3 linked regions of the Mus musculus genome follow. The main gene of each other region encodes a partner of the protein of the gene in region 3 in a complex. Links are inferred from orthologs where the notes say so. Each region holds a gene or a part of one and is shown on either strand. Other genes may lie near its edges. The genes, in order: Csk, Pstpip1 and Ptpn22.

Evidence for each region.
Region 1: the proteins of Ptpn22 (region 3) and Csk are in contact, whole or in part, in an NMR structure (PDB 1JEG), measured with the Mus musculus proteins. Residues at the interface, in NP_033005.1 of Mus musculus: Pro614, Pro615, Leu616, Pro617, Glu618, Arg619, Thr620, Glu622, Ser623, Phe624, Ile625, Val626, Val627; in NP_001291690.1 of Mus musculus: Phe20, Thr23, Gln26, Ala40, Val41, Thr42, Lys43, Asp44, Asn46, Trp47, Ile59, Pro61, Asn63, Tyr64.
Region 2: the proteins of Ptpn22 (region 3) and Pstpip1 are in contact, whole or in part, in a crystal structure (PDB 7AAM), measured with the Homo sapiens proteins. The link is inferred for Mus musculus from reciprocal best matches to the Homo sapiens genes PTPN22 and PSTPIP1. Residues at the interface, in NP_057051.4 of Homo sapiens: Ser793, Lys794, Pro795, Gly797, Pro798, Arg799, Asn800, Pro801, Pro802, Trp805, Asn806; in NP_003969.2 of Homo sapiens: Thr225, Arg228, Asn229, Trp232, Asn236, Ser239, Met240, Cys242, Val243, Asp246.

What each region holds. Positions count from the first base shown.
Region 1 is NC_000075.6:57,625,840-57,629,031, forward strand, and holds the end of Csk (tyrosine-protein kinase CSK), read right to left. Parts: coding exon 3,162-3,192; intron 3,082-3,161; coding exon 2,982-3,081; intron 2,905-2,981; coding exon 2,814-2,904; intron 2,412-2,813; coding exon 2,338-2,411; intron 2,235-2,337; coding exon 2,039-2,234; intron 1,965-2,038; coding exon 1,878-1,964; intron 1,665-1,877; coding exon 1,482-1,664; 3' UTR 807-1,481; downstream 1-806. UniProt on the Homo sapiens protein: Non-receptor tyrosine-protein kinase that plays an important role in the regulation of cell growth, differentiation, migration and immune response.
Region 2 is NC_000075.6:56,116,974-56,121,157, forward strand, and holds part of Pstpip1 (proline-serine-threonine phosphatase-interacting protein 1), read left to right. Parts: intron 1-1,503; exon of another isoform or gene 1,504-1,553; coding exon of another isoform or gene 1,554-1,630; intron 1,631-3,327; coding exon 3,328-3,362; intron 3,363-3,573; coding exon 3,574-3,680; intron 3,681-4,184. UniProt on the Homo sapiens protein: Involved in regulation of the actin cytoskeleton. May regulate WAS actin-bundling activity. Bridges the interaction between ABL1 and PTPN18 leading to ABL1 dephosphorylation.
Region 3 is NC_000069.6:103,858,593-103,863,512, reverse strand, and holds the start of Ptpn22 (tyrosine-protein phosphatase non-receptor type 22), read right to left. Parts: upstream 3,237-4,920; 5' UTR 3,110-3,236; coding exon 3,023-3,109; intron 1-3,022. UniProt on the Homo sapiens protein: Acts as a negative regulator of T-cell receptor (TCR) signaling by direct dephosphorylation of the Src family kinases LCK and FYN, ITAMs of the TCRz/CD3 complex, as well as ZAP70, VAV, VCP and other key signaling molecules.

The sequences.
Region 1 (3,192 bases), on a different chromosome or scaffold from region 3:
TTGACTGACTCATAACAATTAGCCTGAAGTATGTGCAGAAGGTGGCTTTGTGGGGAGGCATTGCTTTGGGAGGGGCTGGGGCACAGTGGGCCTGTGGAGGTAGACAGAAGACGAGCTTCAGGCCAGAGCACAACGGGACAAGGGGAACCTCCCCACTCATCTCAATGAATCAAGGCTCTCCTACCCACTGCGGCTCTGCAGGCCCTGGACAACCTGGGGGGAGGAAAGCCCATGACTGGTCCTCATTCTCCCTCTGTGTGTCCCAGCTGGGACAGACAAAAGGTGCCTCGCTCCATGCAAAGCCCAAGAGGGCACAGGGCTTGGCACACAGTAGGGTGGGGAAGAGCAAAGCTGTCACATGTTAGATGAGACGTGAGAAGCCCCAGGGGCTCCCCTTCCCATCACCCTTGAGGTCAGTGTGGCCTGAGGCATGTTTATCTGGGCTCTCACCCCAGAGCCACATCCCATCTGGCCACGCCAGGACTTCACTTCTTTGTGCTTCAGGCCTGGACAACACGGCAGAAGCAGCCAGAATCCCCAGCAGCATACCAAGGACCGGTCCCAGAGCCCGAGGCAGCCCAGGAGCTCAGGCTCGGGTAGTAGCTGGCAGAGATGGACAGCGGTGAGCACTTCCCCACGGGCAGACACAGGACACTGGCTCGTGCAGCTGACACAAAGAGGCGGTTACATCTCCTGGCCATGCTTCCCTCTCAGCCCCACTCACAGAGACAGGGGGATGGACAAGATGGCATGGGAAGACGACTGGGCAGACAGGCAGGCTCGGCGGAGGAAGCGCCGAGGCTGGGTGGCGGTGTCCTCATGGAGTGGTTTATTGATTCCATCTCACAAGGCGGTGTGGGTGAGCGGCCACAGCACATGAAATCCAAGCCCCCGACAGACGCCTGCCTTGGGCACATGCAAACAGCGCAACATGGTCAAGCGCAAACACAGGCGACCGAGGCAACACTGGACATGGAACACGGGATGGGGGACGGGCTGGGGTGATGGGTCCCTAGAGAGAGGCTGATTCCTCCCCACCCCCAGGGGCAGGACAGGAAAAATAAGATTCGTACTTCTTGTAAAATGCCCATTTGCTGGGTACTTTCTTTCTCCTTATGTTGAAAAATAATAAAAAATAAACACACGGAAAAAAATCTCAAAAAAGGAAAGGAATAAAACTCTAAGAAGGCGAATGGTGGGGCCTTGAGGAGGCCAGCTGCACGGCACTCCTCCTGTTCCTTGGCCTCCTCTCCTCAGCCCCTTCAGTGGGCACCCCAAGCCCTATAGGTGGGTCCATGAGAGAAGATGCCAGGCCTAGGTGGGGTCCCTGGGGGCCAGAAGGGACAGGCAGGTCAGAGGCAAGAGGCCTACCAGCCGGCTGGGGCTCAGTTCAAGTTCAGGCCCAGCAAGCAGCAGGGCACCAGATCTGTAATCTCCGAGGCCCTGTCCCTGCCGGCCCATGGCCTTGGCGGAGGCAGAGGTCACAGGTGCAGCTCATGGGTCTTGATGTGCTCGAGCTGTTCCCGAAGCTGCAAAAACGTGGGCCGTGTGGCAGCATCCAGGTGCCAGCAGTTCTTCATCACCTCGTAGACTGCGGGCGGGCAGCCATCCGGAGCGTCCATCTTATAGCCCTTTTCCACCCGAGGGACGACGTCCTTCAGGGGCTGTGAGCAGATGGTGTGTGAGTCAGCTCAGCGTCTTACAGAGGGAGCCCTACCCAGAAGCCCCTCTCTAAGAAGTCAGGGAATGGCCTGGAGGCTACTCAGGACAGACCAGAGGCCCAGGCTCCAGACAGACAGGCGGTTCCCGTGGGATGCTCTTGCCGCCCCACCCTCCCTCGGCTTCAGCCACACACTGGCCTCCAGACCCATACTCACAATTCTTGGGTAAGGCACTCGCCCGAAGGAATAGATTTCCCAGAGAAGGATTCCGAAACTCCACACATCAGACTTGGTGGAAAATTTCTGCCATGTGGAGAAGAGAATCAGCATTGGGTCCTAGGGAGCTCTAGAGGGGTGGTTCCAGGACCCTCGCTCACCTTCTCTCTCAAGGCTTCAGGCGCTGTCCATTTGACTGGCAGCTTGCCTGTGTCCTGAGTGCTGGAGGCTTCCTTAGTGAGGCCAAAGTCACTGACTTTGGCCACGTTGTCTTCAGACACCAGCACATTCCGGGCAGCCAAGTCCCGGTGCACAAAATTGTTACCCTCCAGGTACTCCATGGCTTCACAGACGTCTCTGAGGGCAGGACAGCCACATGTCCCTCAGACGGGGACTCCCACTCATAGCAGGGCAGGGGGCTCCTTCAAGTTCTTACCCCCACCCAGGTTGCACTACTCACAATGAGAATTTGAGGAGACAGTCTCCACCTAGCACCGAACGACCACGTGATCGAAGATAGTCCACCAAACTCCCCTGCGGGTGGGACAGAAAGGGACAGGAGGGGGTGAGCAGGGAGGAGCCAGAACACTAGTGATAGAGTGTTCATACCATTCAACCCCACAATCTTTGGGCCACTTATGGGTGGGAAAACGGAGGTCTGAAAAGGTTGGCATGACTTGTTTTTTGTTTGTTTGTTTTGTTTTTCGAGACAGGGTTTCTGTGTAGCTCTGGCTGTCCTGGAACTCACTCTGTAGACCAGGCTGGCCTCAAACTCAGAAATCCGCCTGCCTCTGCCTCCCGAGTGCTGGGATTAAAGGCGTGCGCCACCACGCCCGGCTCGCATGACTTGTTTAAAGTTGGCCAATAAACGACTGGCCAGGCCAGGCAGAGTGGAGGGGCTGTGGGAGGAACAGGGTGAGGCTGAGGAGAACCTACCTTGGCCATGTACTCTGTGACGATGTAGAGCCCACCCTTCTCCTCCACAATCACACCCAGCAGCTGGACGAGGTTGCTGTGCCGAAGTTGCCTGTGGCAGGACAGGGTGGTCAGGAGTTCGGCCTGCCAACCCCCCACCCGGTGCTCCACCCAGGCAGTCCAGCTCACGTCATGACGGAGGCTTCAGCCAGGAAGGCCTGGGCAGTTGCGTCATTCTTGATGCACTTGACTGCAACTTTGTTGCCCCGGTAATCCCCCAGCATCACATCTGCAGGAGAGGCAGGGGCTAGTTCCTGGACTCCCAGGGCTCCCCCCACCTAACCCCTCTCCCGGGCTCCGTCAACTCACCTCCAAACTCCCCCTTCCCTATTGTCTGTAG
Region 2 (4,184 bases), on a different chromosome or scaffold from region 3:
CTGAACGTCTTCCTCCTCATCACCCATCTTTGAACCCCCATCTGGGACGCCCGCTCCTTGCCTACCCTGTTAGAGATCTGCCAAACACCTAGTCCCTCAGCAGGGAATGCAAGTGGATCCACAACACTTGTTCTAGTCGCTTGGGGGTGGGAAGTGTTGGTCCTTAGGAAAGGGCCTAGCTGGTGGCCATCCTCCAACACCCAGCTCCCTGGATTGAGGAGCTGTCCTCTCTGCCTACAAGACAGGGTAGCAGAGCTGAGTAAACAATGAGACAAAGGCCTGGGGGTGAAGTGACTTCGTGACTAGCCCACACTGAGAGAGCTCCACTGGCTACCTCCTCCTGTGCAGCCCTCAAACCAGCATTCCTGCCTCAGGCCTCACACTAGCTAGGGTCTCACAGGGTCCCCATAAATGACAGGAAGTTTTAGTCACACCTTAGAATGAGTTTTCTCACTCCTCACTCCTGTTACCGTAGTGAACCTGCCTGAGCCCCTGTGTGGCTTTTGGTGCATTGTAAGGACAGGCTAGGTATTTCAGGAGCTGTCATGATACCGCACACACCATGATCAGCCTTCCTGTCTGGTCCTCTGCTTCTGCCCAGACCCTCACCTTGCTCAAGAAGTAGTCACCTCCTCCCACTCTTCTTCTTGCCACACCAGGAGGGATGCTGTGGGTGCCTTGGAGAACAGAGTGGACCTTGGCCAATGTCCTGTGAGCCCCTCTGTGGTTACAGATGAGCAACATTAGCCCATGGGCACCTTAAAGCCCACCTGACCTTCACCCCTCCTAAACACAAGTGCTGAGATGGTCCCATCAGAGGAGATTTCATGTGTTTTATGATCTCTGCTCCACTGAGATCAGGGTGAAGGCATGTCTCCTAGTGAGGAGCAGTTATACTGTGAAACTAGACTTCAGCTAGAGTTTCCAGGTCTCCTGAGAGCCAAGCTACAGACTAGCAGGTTGTGTTGCACGTTTGCACATTGGTGATAAATGCCGAAAGTCAGAATCATTCTAACCTGTGGTCACCTTCCTCTGCAAGGCTAGCCTTGACATTTTATCTTTTAGGATTTGCATTTGTATGTCTGCTGTGCGGATGTGTGCAGGGGCCCGTGGAGGCCAGTGGTGATGGCTAGGGCTGGGGTTACAGGGCTGCGAGCCATCTGATGTGGGTGCAAGAACCAAATGTGCTCTTAACCCCTGAGCCATCGATAAGTGCAGCCCTTGGCCTTGAGGTTTTGCCTCTTACCACCTGGATGGCTTTTGGCCTCAGTGACTCAGTTTCCTTATCTGTAAATGGCTTGTGGGCCCGAGGCGGAAACCATTCAGGCTATCCTCATCCTGAGTGTGTCAGCACTGGAAGGTTAGGACTAAGTGGTCAGCGGTTGGTCACTGGCAGAGGCCTGCACATCTGCATATCTCATGGCTCCCAGGCTGTTGCTACTGCTCCATGGTCTTGTCAGGCAAGACACCTGGCAGTAACTAGGACCCCATAATCCTCCTTAGGGCCTGGATCTCCAGGGGTCCTCTCAGGTTGCCACTCCTCCTTGGCCTCAATGTCCCCAACTGTTCAGAGAGAAGAGGAAGCCCCCATGGAACATATTCATCCTACCCCGGAAGGAAGCACAGGCAGGTGGGCTTCCCTTACAGTTCACCCAGGGAATTGGTTATGTGACAGGTGCCACATGACTATATTACCACCAGGGGGCGGAAGAGCGCCCTGCAGAGAGGCAGTGAAAGCTTGCAACAAGGGCGCTACTTAGCTCTCGATGCTGAGCGTGGAGCAGGCTGTGCCACCATGCGTTTGCTTTTGTGTCCTTAAGAGACGTAGTACCCCTAAGCCCAAGCTGGGAGCGCAGAGGCACATCTCCCTCACATGCACGGCCTGATGTCACTCAGCTGCCGGAGAGGCTCTGGGAAAGGACGGAAGCTGGTGTAGCCAGGCAGAGACTCCTCCTACCTGAAGTTAAGGATGCCGCTTCTGGGAAGGCGCCACTGGAAAACTCTTCCAAAGTGCAACTGGGGTTAGAGGAAGACCTAGTTCGGCTGCTGGTGCCTGGGGGATGTCCTGGGGACTGGCGGAGTTTGCATATGTGTGAGTGTGACAGGCATGTTAAGCTCCTGACTTGCGCCAGGCTTCAACGATGCCTTATAGTGAGTGGACTATCATTCTCAAAACCACTTTGTGCTGCTAACTGCTCACCATAGAAGGGAAGTCAAGGCAGAGGGCCAGGTGGCTTGCCCAGGGTCACACAGTGAATAAGTGGTAGAGCCTGGCCATCTGGCTACAGGGTGTGCTGCTTTTGTGTGTGGAGACCGGAGTAAGAGGCCACCGCAGATTTCCTAGGTTGGTTCCCACACACACTATCTGCCCCCTCCTCTGAATGGAGCACATGCCTCTCGAGGGCCCTGCTCCTGAGAGCTTGGACTCGCGCTCACAGTTTCCGTATTGGCCCCAGGACTCCGATACCCACCGATAAACAGCAGTGTGTGCTGGCCGAGCCGGCATCTCTGCTTGGCCCTCAGCGCTACCATGCTCTGGGGTGAACAAGGCTGCCGGAGAGAATCCAGGGCGCCCAGTGTGCTGTTCAAGTAAACTGAGCAGAGTGGGGATTTCTGTGGGAAGGGGGTGGGAGCAGTTGGGACAGAGTCTTTTTTTTTTTTTTTTTTTTTTTTGGTCGCTTATGATGACCTTAAACTTGTGGCCTGTCTGCCTCTGCTGCCCAGGTGTCACCCCCACTTGCCCAGGGGCTTCCACTTTACCTGGCAGCCTCTCCTGCTTGAGCACTGTTCTAGCTCCCATACAGCCTCCTCCTTCCCCTCCCCTTGGTACCCAGCCTGAAGCAGATGCCATAGCTGTCCCTGGCTCTGTCCCTGCCCACCTCCCAGCCTTTCCTTATGCCTTCCATGCCACCTGCTGGAAAGAGCTATAAAGACCTTCCCCTGCGTCAGATTCATCCAGGCAATATTGAGTATAACCAGGTGCCTGCATGGGCGGAAGTCTCATAGAGGCTGGGAGCTTCCTGTGGACACACCCCTCTTCTCTGGGCTGCAAAGACATGGGGAGTGAGAAAGTGGGGGACAGAACTGCCGTAGCAAGGAGGCTTTCCCACCACAGCAAGGTTCCACTGCTTTTTAATTTACAAAGAAAACTGTTTTCTAGAATGTCAGTTGGGGGTTACATGAATGATGACCATGGCCAAAGGTCCCTTGCATCCATAGTAGTCAATATGGCTTAGGGCCCTCCCTCCAAAATAAAACACCATGGGTCAGGCAGGACGCCAGGCTCCTGCAGCATGCTGTCTACTGACCTAGACTTCTGTTTTGCAGTTCCCTGAGGACCTCCTTTGACTCCCTGAAGCAGCGTAAGTTCCAACCATCCCCACATGGGCAGCAGGGCCATTAGGGTCTCCTGGAAGACCCTTAGCCCTTGTATGGGGTGACTAAGTTAGGAGCTATGTGCTTGGGCTGTGGTCCAGCTCTGTGCCAGGCTGAAAGGCTGATGGAAGATGTGAGGGTGGGAGGTAGGGTGAGGGAGACAGACTGGTCCAAGCAGAGGCCACGCTGTCACCCTAGAAACAGAGAATGTGGGCAGTGCACACATCCAGCTGGCCCTGGCCCTGCGTGAGGAGCTGCGGAGCCTGGAGGAGTTCCGAGAGAGACAGAAAGAGCAGCGGAAGAAGGTGAGGGGGTGGGGAGGGCGAAGGAGGGGAGGTGGGGGACCCCCCCAGAGGCCACCCACTCACTGTTCTGGGGGCCAGTTGGGAAGCATGGCTTGATGAAGGGGGGAGAGTGTGTGTATGTTCTAGCTTGCTTTCCTGTTGCTGTGATAAACCCCTGACTTGGGAAGAAAGGTTTATCTTCTCAGGTCACACTCCATCACTGAGTGAAGTTAGGGCAGGAACCTAGAGGCAGGAACTGGAGCAGAACCGAGAGAAGGAATGTTTCCTGGCTTTGCTCCCAGCTCATGTTCAGCCCCGGTTTTCTCACATAGCCCAGGTCTACCACAGAGCTGCCAGGAGCCAGGAAGAGAAAGGGTGTGGAGCTTTTAGACGATCCTCCTTCATACTGTGTGATTAAGTATCCAACCTGAGTTGAGTGGCCCCTGGAAGCTGGCTCTGAACACAAGGATTAGGGCTGCTGGTTCTGGAGACAGGCAGACTTGGGGCCCGTAGTCTGCATGGCTG
Region 3 (4,920 bases):
GGCTCACAACCCCCTGTAACACCAGTTCCCAGGGATCCAACTCCATCTTCTGGCTTCCACAGGCACTGGGCAGGCACTAAATGCATAATATATAAATGCCGGCAAAACAACACATATACACACACCAAATACAAATCTTTCTTTAAAGGAGCAGGGTGTGCTTGATGGTACACGCCTTTACTTCTGTTACATAGGAGGCAGACAGACTTCTGAGAGTCTGAGGCCACCCTGGTCTACATAGTGAATCCCAGTGCAGTGAGAGCTGCATAACGAAACAACAATAAAAACTTAACAACGACAAAGAAGTCAGGACTGAAATCTGAGTTAAGGAACCTTTTGGTTTTGTTTCTTGGTTTGTTTGTTTGTTTGTTTTGTGGGGGGAGTTGTTGCACAGAAAATCTACATTTAAGTATAAATGCTGTATCATACTAGCCACTAAGGCTGCTAGCAGTGCCTTTACGTCATAAAGTTCATTCTGAAATCTCACAAACATCAAGAACTTCAGGTGGACTGTGGGCAGAAGTCAAGTGGAAACCTTCCAGTTGGATGGCAGTATTTCCCTGGGCCAACAGCTCCTCTCCCAAAGCTATTTTTCTGGTGTCTCAGTTGAACCTTTAGGTGGGGCTGAGGGTGAAACTCTTGTTTTTCCACTGGAGGACGTGAGTCAGTGAACAGTGAGGTTCCACTTAATCACCACCCAAAAGAAGGTTCTTAAGTATAAGGAGCCAGAAGGGCAAGGAGATGATTAATATAAACCCAGGACAGTGATTTACCCGGGTGGGATGGGGTGGAGGAATGGGGTGGGGTGGGGTGGGGTGGGTGGGTGGAGAGGCCAGTTGTGGAAGGGACAGTAGGGAATCTCTCCAAGTTAGACAGTGCTATATTTTTTGATCTGTGCAGTAACCGCATTAGCACTGGTTCCTTTATAACTATATTCACATGTTTTGTGTAGTTTTTCTAAATATATATTTTAGTTCACAATTATAAGCAGCTAACAAAATACAAGCTATAAAAAAGTTCTTAAGCTGAGAAAAATATGACCAGATTTATGTAATTAAAAGAGCACTTTGGAGCCTGGCATGGTGGTGTACACCATTGTACACCTTTCATCTCAGCACTCAGGAAACAGAAGGTGGATCTCTGAGTTCAAGGCTAGTCTCGTCTATACAGTGAGTTCCAGCCCAGCTATGGCTACATAGTGAGTCCTTGTCTAAGAAAATTAAGGTGGGACAAGGCTAGAAACAGAGAAAGCAGTCAGGAGGTGGCAGCCAGTTTGGTAAGAGACTATAACGACCTCTACGAGTGGTTAAAATATTAGAGATATAGTCTGCTCTGTTTTGAAAAATACAACCCAAGTAAGACAAAGATGTCACTACCTCTCAGCTCACGTCCCCTCTATATCTTAATAAATTGCCTTAAGAATGTCTCAGTGATACAGTCAAAAGGCATGCTTGGATCTAAGTAGACACATAGGCAACTCTACCCTGTGCCTAAACTACCCTGAGAACTTGTGGCAGAAAGAAAATATTTAAGTGACACCATAAGCTGGCATAATATCTTAGCCTCAAAGTTGGGCCACTATATACTAGCCTGCTGTGCTATCTAATAGTGATATCTGTTCAGTGAAAACATCATGGATAGTTTTCTCTTCTAATATCTGGTGCCAGAACGCTAGTTCTGGAAGGCAAAGACATTTTGTTTACTATTGTATCTTAGTGTGAAGAAACAAAGTTGGTACATAGTAAGTGCTCCTAAATGATCCCTTTTCTGAGACACGGTCCCTCTCAGTCGCCTGGGCGAGCCTTGAACTCAAGATTTAACCCACCTCAGCCTTCCAAGTAACTGGGTCTCTGGGTGCCTCCAAAACACCTTGTTCTCATTTAATTATTATAATTAATGATATAATCATCACAATAATCCAAAATGAGATAGATAGGACATAAATTATTATCCTCATTTTTTTAACCTAGAAAACAAAGAGTTAGGGTGATTTGGGAACACGTTAAATATTTGATAATTTGAATGATGACCATGTCGATGTTCTTTATTTTTCTCAATTCAAAGCTGAAGGGCTAAGGCTTAACATTCTTACAGTTCTGAAATACCAATTAGAAGCTTTTAGAACACAGCAGGTTGGTGTGGTCGTACATGCCTTTGATCCCAGTGAGGCAGAGGCAGGAGGATCTTTTAAGTTCAAGGCCAAACCTGATCTACATAGTGAGCTCTAGGCCAGACAGAGCTACATACTGATACAAACAAACAAACAAACAAACAAACACTAAGCAAAAACCAAAAGCATGACAGGTGTGTCAAATACCATGTTATCTGATGTGCCTGACAGGGATGGAAAATGGGCCGCCCAGCTTTTGTTACACTGTTAACTATGGCTCCCTCTAAGTGGATTTGAGTTCTGGATAATCAAGTCCACCTGCTCCCAGGCTACCTTGCTCTCCATGTCTCTCACGTGTCTCTACTCCCCACTCTCCCTAGCCCACTTCTCCAGACAATATAAGTTAAAGAAGCCCAGCTATTGTTAAAAAGGAAAATGCCTATTCTAATAATCAACTTGTTTTCAAAGGGATAGGAGAAAAAGTGGCAAAATGAGAGTTTTTGGTGTTTTTCAAACCCCTGTTATCCCAATGATAGCCTATAGGGAAGCTAAAAATAACACGTAACATGAAAAGCTACTCTTATTAGTAATCTGAAGCATATGTCACAATGCAAATGCTTTCTGCAGATGTTCAGAAAGCATTAATATCCATACACCTGTCTATACCTTCTGTAGGACCATTAAGCTCAAAAGAACAAGCAAACCCAACATTAAAACCAGCCTACCTGGAGAAAACCCTGAGCACAGACACAACAAAGCCCAGAGAGGTTATGTTCTTAGGTCGCCTTCCTCCCTTCCACTCCAAACTCCATGGTCGTGTTATCCCTACAGCAATTGCGTCTAGGCAAACTGGGCCACCACAGACTGCTACACAGTTTATCTAAGAACTCTTCAGAGCATTCCAGAACTCACCAGAAATTCACTGGCAAACTCCTCACTGTTGAGTTTCTTTTTCTGGGCTTCTTTCAGTAGTTGCTGCAGAATTTCTCTTTGGTCCATGCCGCAGAGCAAGAGTCTGTGAGTAGGTTAAGGGAGGGCATGTCAAATATGTGTCATGGCCAAGGCAGCACCAAGAAGCCACTGCTGCTGCAGGAGCACAGCGTGCTGGAGGCTGTGGTTTACTGACTTCATCACAAGCCCTAGAGGAAATTAGTACAAAACTAGCTTCTGTGGTCACACAACAAAGCCATCATCTCCCTGCAGGGCCCTAGCGCCTTCCTTTCTCAACAAAGAAACTTGGCTACTGTTCAAATGTAACAAACAAGAGGCTAACCAGAACACAAACTGTGGTCTGCTTAGCTCAGAGACTGTTCCACGCTGTCAGTCTCAGACAGCACTCAGTTCTTCCATTCCCAGAAGAAAGGCAGAAAGTACAGCACTAACCTGTGAGTTCAGCTTTTCACATCCCAGTGAGCAGAAAGGCCTGGGTGACGCCCACCTATGCCCTGCTGCAGGAGAGGAGACAAACACTGGAGTTACCTATCTCCGACCCGGACCATTATCCCCAAAGTCTCCTATAGATATGATCATGGCAGACCTCTGCTCATCAAGCGGGCATTTTGTTTCAGAATTTGTCAAGCTTCCATTATAAACCTCACGTTTTTCTTTTAGAGGAAGCAAAGTCCACTGCTTCTGATGGTCCATCTCACCCGTGACTGGGGAAGTACTGGCCCTCATTAAGGGAAGTGTTGGTCTCTGTACTTCTTCAGACCTCCAGTAGCTTTGCAAACACTGAGAGTACAGCTCTACACAGGATGGGAAGCACCGGGGAGGCAGTTAGCACAATATCCCCAGAACGCACTGCTAGCAAACAGCGAAAGGACAAAACGGAACTAAAGCTAAAATATTGCTTGCTGAGAACCATACAGATTCTATCTAGGTCAGCCTGTCTGGAGAGAATTGAGGAGAGGTGGTGCAGTCCCAGCTCCTCAGGACTGTCCCCAGCTGCAAGATCACTTGAGTCTCAGAGTTTGAGACACCTGAGAAACAAAGTGAGCGCTCTCTCTCTCTCTCTCTCTCTCTCTCTCAGAAGGGGAGGGAGGAAGAATGAAAGAGGCTGAAGAATTCATGAAGACATGTTGACATTTTGATCCTACAGAGCCTATCTCAGAAAAGATCGCGTTTCAGGGAGCCGTCCACATCTGTGGTATCAGTGCCTTAACAAGGCAGGTTATTCCAGAGAATGCTTCCACATCTCCGTTTGCATAAATCCTCTCTTCGATGGGCACAAATCCACTCAAGATCTAATTCAGTGTGAAAACCCTTGCAAATGAGGAAGTTCAGTAAACAGAATGTTACAAAATTAGTTTCAAGTTAAAAAAAAAAACTGGGAAAGGTGTAGTTTGGACTTCCTCTATTAAGATATTAGCAACCCTTTCTGGTTTTACACTATTCAAACTCCCTTCAGAAAATCATGATTTTGAACACAAAACACGCTGCACCCTCTTCATTGAACCCTTGGCAGGCAATTTGAAGTTAGTATTTCACATAAAGAATTTCAAATGTAGTTCACACAAATTAAAATGAACCATAATTCTTCAGCAATATTTCCTGAGACTAAAACAAATCTCTGAGATTATCCTTGTCTAGCAACAACAGGAAATTTCTTGCTACTCTAAATGATGCAATATTTGACTATTTTAAAACATACAAAATATGGGGAAGCTTTATTTTTAAAAAGAATACAACATTCTTCAGGGTATAATGGAATATACTTGTAACACTAGCACTGAGGAGGCTCAGATAGGAGAATGGTTACAAAGTGCAGGCCTATCTGAACTATATATAGCAAGACACTGTCTCAAAAGTTA